Oryctolagus cuniculus: one gene and its partner. The protein of the gene in region 1 interacts with the protein of each later gene in a pairwise test. Links are inferred from orthologs where the notes say so. Each region holds a gene or a part of one and is shown in the gene's direction. Other genes may lie near its edges.

Region 1 (4,382 bases):
GGACAGAATCCGGCGCCCCAACCGGGACTAGAACCCGGTGTGCCGGCGCCGCAAGGTGGAGGATTAGCCTAGTGAGCCGTGGCGCCGGCCTGCACTCATCTTTCAACCTTTATGAGCAGCAACTGCTTCTATAACCGCTGTTTCAGTAAAATTCTGAAGCCTGAATGCCAGCTCACTTCACTGCTTACTGGGCCTACATTTTCCCAGCCACATTAAATCCAAAGGGCATCACCCCACAAAAACCAGCGAGGGTTTTCTTATTCTTGAGATACAGCAATGCATCTCCTTCCATGTTTGTATCTGTCTTACTTTGTTCTAGCACAGGCTGTTAACATAGGCTATAACTGCTTAGGAAGTTACTGGGGATGCAAGGATTGTGAACTTCACAATCTTACTTAATGGTTAACACTAGTCAGGCTGCATTGTTATTAAGACTACCCTAAGTCACTCACCATTTTACATTTCTTTGCCGCTTTCACCAGGCCCTTTGTGTCCCCAGCATGTGCTTTGTGTGCTTGGCACACAGTGTGCACCTGTGTGGCTCTGTAATTCAGCAAGTGCCTCAAGAGAGACCTAAAGTCCCTGAAGCAGGCTGGCGCCATGGCTCACTTGGCTAATCCTCTGCCTGCGGCGCGGGCACCCTGGGCCCGGTTCTAGTCCCAGTGCTCCTCTTTCAGTCCAGCTCTCTGCTGTGGCCCGGGAGTGCAGTGGAGGATGGCCCAAGTGCTTAGGCTCCTGTGCCCACATGGAGTGCAGGAGACTAGGAAGAAGCACCTGGCTCCTGGCTTGGAATCGGCACAGCGCTGGCCATAGCGGCCATTTGAGGAGTGAACCAACAAAGGAAGACCTTTCTCTCTGTCTCTCTCTCTCACTAACTCTGCCTGTCCAAAAAGAAAAAAAAGAGTCACAGGGCTTCTGCTGGGAGTGGGGAGGTTTTCAAAAGTCAAGTAACCGGACTGAGCGCTTGACAGTGCCTTCTTCAGTGTGGTGTCTTCAGCACCTGACTCAGAGCCTGGTGCACAGTAGGTACTCAATAATGCTGAATGAATCGGCTACAGTCCCCATGGGGACATTAAATTGAACTCTATTATGAAGAGGTGAGCTGAGTGCCATCCAAGCCTCGCGGACCAGCGGCACACCCAGCTGCTACAAGATGACCGAAGCCTGTTCTAATTTCATAGATATTGCAATTCTATTCTGTAATTACATGTTTTCTCGTTCAGGAGGTGGAAAAAAAAAAAAAAGAGGAATCTTGGTTGTCTGCGCTCCCGGTTCTTTGATGTTGAAGGCAAACGCGCAGAGCGCTGGGACCCCCTCCACAGCAGTCCCTCCAGCCTGGCAGGCCCAAAGCGGGAGGAGCTCCCGGCACGCCCCGCGGCGGAGCCGCCGCGAGCCTCAAGGGGTCGCTGTTCCCGCGATAACTTCGGGAAAGGCTCCGCCCCGCGGCCGGCGCTTCGCTCGCTTCCTCCGACGGGGGCCCGGCCCCACAAGGCAGGGACGCCCGTCGGCCTGCAGCTCGGCCCCCGCGACCTGCGCGGACGTTGGCGGCCCCACTCCCGGCTGGACGCGCTCTACTTCCCGGCCGCCGCCGCCGCAGCCCGGGAGCGCAGCCTGTTCTGAAGCGCTGGTACTCGATCCTCGCCCCACCCTCCGCCTCCCCCTTCGCGGAAACGACAGCTGCGGCGGCGGCGGCGCTGGCGCCACCTCCCTCCACCTACCACGTCTGCCCCCGCCGCTCTCGCCCGGCGCCCCAGCCCGGCCTCGGCGCCACCGCCTCCCCGCTAGGTCAGCCGGCGGCTCCGCCCGGCTGCCTCCCGGGATGAACATCATGGACTTCAACGTGAAGAAGCTGGCGGCCGACGCAGGCACCTTCCTCAGTCGGGCCGTGCAGGTACCACAGTGGTTGGGGGCTGGGGGGGGTGGGGGGTGGGAAAGGGTGGCGGCGTCCGAGGGGGGACCTGGGAGGGGCCCCCGAGCGCCCAGCCCGAGGAGGCGGCGGCCGCCCGGCGGCATTGCTGCGGCCGAGGCTCGGGCGATGGGCGCGGCCTGGTGCCCCTACGGTCCCGCTGGGCGTTTTCCTCCTCGCTCCTCTCCAACCGCCGCTCTGGGGCAGCGAGACGGGGTGGGGACGGGGCCTGAACCTCCCTCCCGCCCCTGGAGGACACCTTGAGTTCACCTCGGGTCGAGGCGCTGCCCTGGCCGCCCGGGTGAGCCCCTCCCGGGGCCGGCGGCGCCTGGCGAGCGCGGCGGGTACGAGCGCCGCAGACCATTGGGGCGCCACCCCCACGCTTTCCTTTCGCCTCTGGCCCTCCCTGCCGAATCCGAGAAGGGAGTTTCCTCTTCCAGCCCCTCAACCCAGAGAACTCTGCCAAGGCAGTTCCCTCCAGCCCTCTGTCTTCCTGAAAGGACTGTCCCTGGGCTTGGCAGCCCCCGGGGGAGGGAGGGGCGGAAATGCACATCGCCAGTTGGCGTCCAAACTTTGCCAGGGCCAAGAGACCCAGAGTTTGGGGTTCTCGTTGTGCAAACTCAGCTGGGGAGTAAGGAGAGGGGTGGGGGGAAGATTGACGTGGTGTCCGGAGCCGCAGTGGCATGCTTGATACACTTGAAGGGGAACTATAGACTGACTAGCTCTGGGAATGCTGCAATCAAGGACGTGTCAGTACCAGGGAGCTTAGCTTTCTACAGACGTCATCCGCATTGTGCTAAGTCAGTTACATCCAGGAACAGATGTAAATTTCACAACATGGTTGTAAACAATCTGCTGTTTAAGCTAATAACACAGTCACAGTAGCAGCAGCATTCTCTTTTGTAAAGAGAAAATGAAATTAATTTCTCACACGCATACTGAAATGTCAAACCTGTCCCATTGCTTTACTACATTCCTGTCTCCTTTACCTCAGTTTTGGCACAGTTGCTTCTAACATTGCACTGGTCTCACCAAAAGCATGCAAGAGCCAGAGCAAGGTAATAACTGCCTATGTTATGAAACACTTGTATGTATGTCAAGTAGTTCGCTGTTCATTTGACTAACTCCCTTCAGTCCTTTCCATAGCTTTGCCAGGTAGGTGTTACTAACCCCCTTTTATGTCTAAGGAAGCAGCCTCGGAGAGGTTCAGTAACTTGCCTAACTTGCACGGGTAGTAAACAACTGGTTGCCATCTGGCCTACTACTGCCAACTAATTTCTCTATCTGAATAAGCCGTTGCAAGTTTAAGATACATGGAAATAGAATGCTGTGGCCTAGAGAGACTTTAAATATAAGGTAGCATGATGTGTTTCAATAACAGCAACAAATAACACTGAAGAAATGAGAAATTCCTCCTAGCTTTTGATTTCGAATTCCAAAATCTCTGTGATAATAAACTACCCATCTTAAGTCTTCTACCTCTTCTTCCCTAAAATATTAAGTATAATGTAAAGACATTGAACTTTTATAGTTAAAATACTTTCTTGATTTCAATTAGCCTGTTTCCAATAGTTCAAAAACATGGTGCAAGGGGAGTGAATGATAGAGGGTCTGAGATGAATTTTGATTTCTGAGACACTTAGAATTAACATTGCTGACAATAAAGGACTAGAGCCTTCCATATTTTTTGCTGTGGTGCCATTACCTGTGATTTTATATCCTTGGTGCAGATTTGACACTATACAATGCTTTATATGACCCATGCTACTTAAATAGGACACATTTCTGGAATTTAGTGTGATTTAAATTGTTGGTAGATAGAATTTTAAAAAGTAAATCTACCAAAGATCGCAAAGAGTATACCTCCTCAATTGAATCTTAATGATTCTTTCCATCTCTTTAGGGAAAAGTTTTTTCATTCTGTCCTAATCTGTTAGCTGTCAATTTTCTTTTTGGTCTTACATACTTAAGTGCCTAGTCCATCTCTTCCATCACTATTCTGGACACTGGTGATACAGCAGGAAATACAATCAGTAAAGGATCTTCCTTCCTAGAGCTTACATTCTGGCAGAAAATAAACTTGTAAATACATCAGATGATAGAGGAAAAAAAGCCAGAAGAATAAGGTAATAGGCAAAGTGGTGGTTGTTGCTATGTTGTGTAGCTAGGATGGTCAGGGCAAGGCTTTCTGATAGGATGAAATACAGAGAGACCTCAAACAAGTATAATAGAGTCTTCTTTCCTCTCCTCTCCTCCCCTCTCCTCTCCTCTCCCCTCCCCTCTCCTCTCCTCTCCTCTCCCCTCCCCTCCCCTCCCCCTCCCCCTCCCCCTCCCCCTCCCCTCCCTCCCTCCCTCCCTCCCTCCCTTCCTTCCTTCCTTCCTTCCTTCCAGAAGCATTTGAGGGCAGAAGGAACAAGTGCAATGACTGAAGTTGCATAGGTACTGGGGCAACTGGTTAGGGAACTGTCGTCATATG
Region 2 (4,452 bases), on another chromosome or scaffold:
TTTTTTTCTTAAAAGCAGTGGCGAGCCATAGGAGGACTTTGAGTAGGGTAGTGACATAGTTAACTTTGCATTTTAAATAGACTCTGACGCTGTGCTGAAAACAGAAGGGAGGGGGAAGAGAGTGGAGAAGCTAAAATTGGCAGGAATGATGGTTGCCTTAGCCAGGCGAGGTGGCAGAGGAGATGGTGAGAAGTGAGTGGATTCCAGAGATGTGAAAGAGGTAAAATGAACCATTTACTGGGCTCTGTGCTGGGGGCATTACAGCGATTATCTTATTTCATCAGTACAACACCCCTATAGGTATCATTTTAAACCATTACATGTTCAAGGTCAAACAGGAGTAAACATTAGAGGTGGAATTCAAATGAAAGCAGTTGAATGCCAAAACCCATGCACTTAACCGCTCCTACATACTGCTTCCCCCAACAAGGCAACAACTAGAAAGCATCCATTACATATTTGTGTGGATTTCCATGCTTAAATCTATATACACATTTCAAAATTCAAAAGGTACAAAATTTTCCCTCCTCTCTGGAGGCAATCAGTGTTGTCAGGTATAGATGTAAAATGATGCACCTGGTACAGGGAGTTAGCCTAGCAGTTAAGACACCCATGTCTTACATCAGAGCGCCTAGGTTTAATACCGGCTCCAGCTCCTGACTCCAACTTCCTGCTAATGCAGAGCCTGGGAGGCAGAAGTAATGGCTCAAGTACTTGGGTTCCTGCCCCCTATGTGGGAGACATGGCTTGCATTCCTGGCTGCTAGATTTGACCTGGCCAGAGTTCCAGCTGTTTGGGGCATTTGGGGAGTAAACCAGCAATTGGAATCTCTCTTTTTCTCTCTCAAATAAATACATTTATTTAAAAAAAAAAAAGATGATGTACTAGCAAGTAAGCACTTAGTAATTTTTATATGCATTTCTTTTTGTGTGAGTGAGGCTGAGCATCTTGAGCCTCAACTGTATTTGATCCATCGGATTTTGCAACATGGCAATCACCATTGACCTTGATGGACCTGGTTTTCGTAGCCAAGGACAGGGAGAGCAGTTAAGAGAGCACTGAGGAGTTAACAGGAGGTAACCTGTAGGGTTGGAGTAGGCAAGTATTTGAGCAAGATGGAGAGAGAAGTGGGAGCAAGGGAGATAGTTGGAGAGAGGGAGAGGTTTTCAAGATGCAGACTTCCCAAAAGGAACGCTGAAGACCTTGAACTATGTTCAAACTACAGGGACTCGGAGCACTGCCAATTATTGGCTGGGTGACCTTGTGTAAGTCACTTAACCTCTCTGGGGATTCATTTTCCCCATCTGTGAAAGCAGGGCTAATAGTCCCTTCCACGCAGGGATTAAATCGGTGAACACATTTAACAAACTCAGAAAAAGGCCCGTCGAAACATCATACGTTAGGATGACTTGGTCCTTTCTGTCCCCAGACCTCTAGTTATGTTTTCAGAGGGAATGATGCGCCCAGCACACTGCTAGCCTGCAGCCCCGGGGCTGGAATGGAGGCCGGGAACAGCCGGCTGTGCGCAGGCGCGCGGCGAGCGGGGTGGGAGCGCAAGGGGCGGGGCTGCAGCCGCCTGGGCTGTTCCGACGATCGCGCGCCGCCCCCGCCGCGCCCCGCGCCCGCCCTTGCTAGCAGGCGCCTCTCGCCCCCTGCATTGCTGATGCTGCTGCTGGCAGACATGGACGTGGTGAATCAGGTACGCGCTCCAGCACCGCGGACAGAGCCCGCCGCTCCCAGCCGCCGAAGCCGGCGGCTCCCTTCAGCCCGCCGACTCTTGAGAGGTGGTGGCCAGGGTCCTGACGGCACAGACCCGGTCCCCGGCGCTGGGGCTGGGGGGTCTGCGGCAGGCGAAGGGAGGAAAGGGGAGGTGGTGGAGAGGTGTGCGCTTTTTGCCGCAGCGAGGGCCATCCTCACTGTCGCAGCGGGAACCACCAGAAGCCCCGCGATTTACTGGCGACCTCGAGGAGAGGAGGAAGGGGCCTAGGGGCTGGGGGATTCTCAGGACTGGGGAAGGGGCGGAGTGGGGGGGTTGGGGGGGAGAGTAGAAGAAAGACTGGGGGCTGCGACTGAGCTAGGAAATAGAGCGACATAAGGTGTGGGGGCGGGGGCGGGAGTGAGGGACAGCTGACACCCGCCCCTCCCAAATAGACTGCACCCCGGTTGACAACCAGGACCCTTTCCCTGAGAGCAGATCCGGGGGCGGGGGGTTGGGGGGGCGCGATCGGCTCTGCCTCCTCAACTACCCCTCATCTCCTCTCCCCCAACACAAACCCAGTGAAGCCGCGTCCCGGCCCTCCCCCACTTTCATGGGTCCAGACCCTCTCCGCCATCTCACTCTTCAGCACCTCCGAACCTCGCCCCTTCCCTAACCAGTACCAAACCCCTCTCCATCCCTGTCGCCTCAGACCCCTCCCCACCATCTGACTCAGCTTTACCATGCAGACCCCTCCCCCACTCTAGCCAACCCGACTCCCGCCCGCCCTGGTGATGACTCACCTTCACCGCTCAAGACCCCCTCCCCCACCCCAGGACCCGACTCCTTCCTCGACCTCTCCACCCGACCCCCTTCCCCTCCTCACTCACAGTTGGCTTCCAGACCTTCCCCTTTCCCCCACTAATCCGGACCCTAACCCCATCTTCCTCATCCCTAACTCCTCTCCCATCTGACTCACCATCACCCCAACCTCTCCGCCAGTCCTGAACCCCGCGATGGGTCTTCTCTCACAGATCCTGGTGCTCATGCCTTCCTCAAGGTGTTACTTTCTCCTTTTTACCCTCTCTCTGAACATCACCTTCCCCCTGCATCCCGCACCGAGGTCACGTGCCCCATCCCCTGGGTGCATCCCCTGAGACCCCTACCCCTGGCCTCCCTCTCTACCTCCAACAACCCCACCCCCTCCCCGCGTTTCTCTCCTCAGCTGGTGGCCGGAGGTCAGTTCCGGGTGGTCAAGGAGCCCCTCGGCTTCGTGAAGGTGCTGCAATGGGTGAGTGAGGTCTGGGCTCCTGGGGTGGGGGTAGGGGATGCAGGGAGAGAAGCTGTGGGGTCTGGAAGAGCAGATGCAGAGTAGAGGGGAAAGTAAGGAATGCATAGGAGGGGTGGAAGGGGATGGGGGGGATTGGGCTCCAGGGTGACATGGGGGGGGGGTTGGGGCCAGAGCAGAGACAGGCTGTGACGTCACAGGGCCAAGAGTACCCCTGTTGAGAAGTGACGTCCTACCTCCTCTCCTGAAGTGAGGGGGGGAGGTGGAGCCTGTAGCCAATTTCTGGGGGACAGACTCAAAACTAAAGAAACCCAGAAACAGCGAAGGACGCAGAGAGAATGAGAGATGGAGAATGATGGAGACAGAGACAAAAATGCTGCAAAAAAAAAAAAAAGAGAGAGAGATACAAAGATGAGTGAGAGAAGCAAAAAGAGACAAAGAAGGGCAGAGGGAGACACACAGAGAACAGAGATGTAGAGAGGAATAGGCACAGGGACACAACCAGGGAAACAAGGTGGGGGAGGGAAAGACGCCCAGAAAAAAGAAAAAAAAACAACACACAGCAAAACAGACAGGAGGGAGACAAGGAGAGAGGCATACAGACACCAGGTGAGAGACAGAGACACGGACAGAAAGCGAGACACACAGAAAGACCTAGGGAAAAAAGAGATACTGAAAGAGGCAGAGATAGTCAGAGACAAAGAGACATCTGAGAAAGGCAAAGACACAGAGAGAGAGAGAGAGAGAGAGAGAGAGAGAGAGAGAAACCAAGAGAAATAGAGATGCAGTGAGCCACGCAGAGAACAGAGACAGACAGGGACAGACTGACGCAGGTGGAGACAGAGACAGAGAAGGAGGGCAGTCAGAGCGTGGAGAGACACCCAGGGAGAGAGAAACAGGAAGAGATAGCCACACCCCTGTAATCAGCTTGTCCTTGGTCCGATGAGCCCTGATTAGGGGGTGGGGGCGGGGAACCTCTCCATCTGCTGCTGCCTCTGCTGGGCCCCCAATCTGTCCAGAGGAGGGCACCCCCCTCCCACGTGCACACAGGCTCACTGTGGCCATCGCCATCCCTGCTACCCAAGGTCTTTGCCATCTTCGCCTTTGCCACATGCGGCAGCTACAGTGGGGAGCTCCGGCTGAGCGTGGAGTGTGCCAACAAGACGGAGAGTGACCTCAGCATCGAGGTTGAATTTGAGTACCCCTTCAGGTGTGACTCCTCTCTGGGATCCCAATTGACATGAGAGAAGCAGGGGTGGGGTGGGATGTGCCAGAACCTCTTCCCCCCAGGGGCCCCTGCCCAGCCCCCACCTCAAGAGGCCGCATCCACTTGGATCACCACTGGTGCACTGAACACCTGCCTTGTACCTGGCACTGCTCTGGATATCTGGGACCATGTAATAAGCAAGACAGGCATATATATATATAATATATATATATATCTTAATACAGCAGGTGCTCAGTTAAT

What was found.
Region 2: the proteins of SH3GLB1 (region 1) and SYP interact in binary tests that used the Homo sapiens proteins (3 or more experiments, as listed by UniProt). The link is inferred for Oryctolagus cuniculus from reciprocal best matches to the Homo sapiens genes SH3GLB1 and SYP.

Annotation. Positions count from the first base shown.
Region 1 is NC_091438.1:84,410,932-84,415,313, reverse strand, and holds the start of SH3GLB1 (endophilin-B1), read left to right. Parts: upstream 1-1,450; 5' UTR 1,451-1,819; coding exon 1,820-1,891; intron 1,892-4,382. UniProt on the Homo sapiens protein: May be required for normal outer mitochondrial membrane dynamics. Required for coatomer-mediated retrograde transport in certain cells. May recruit other proteins to membranes with high curvature. May promote membrane fusion.
Region 2 is NC_091453.1:34,296,517-34,300,968, reverse strand, and holds the start of SYP (synaptophysin), read left to right. Parts: upstream 1-1,553; 5' UTR 1,554-1,663; coding exon 1,664-1,699; intron 1,700-2,921; coding exon 2,922-2,987; intron 2,988-4,069; coding exon 4,070-4,194; intron 4,195-4,452.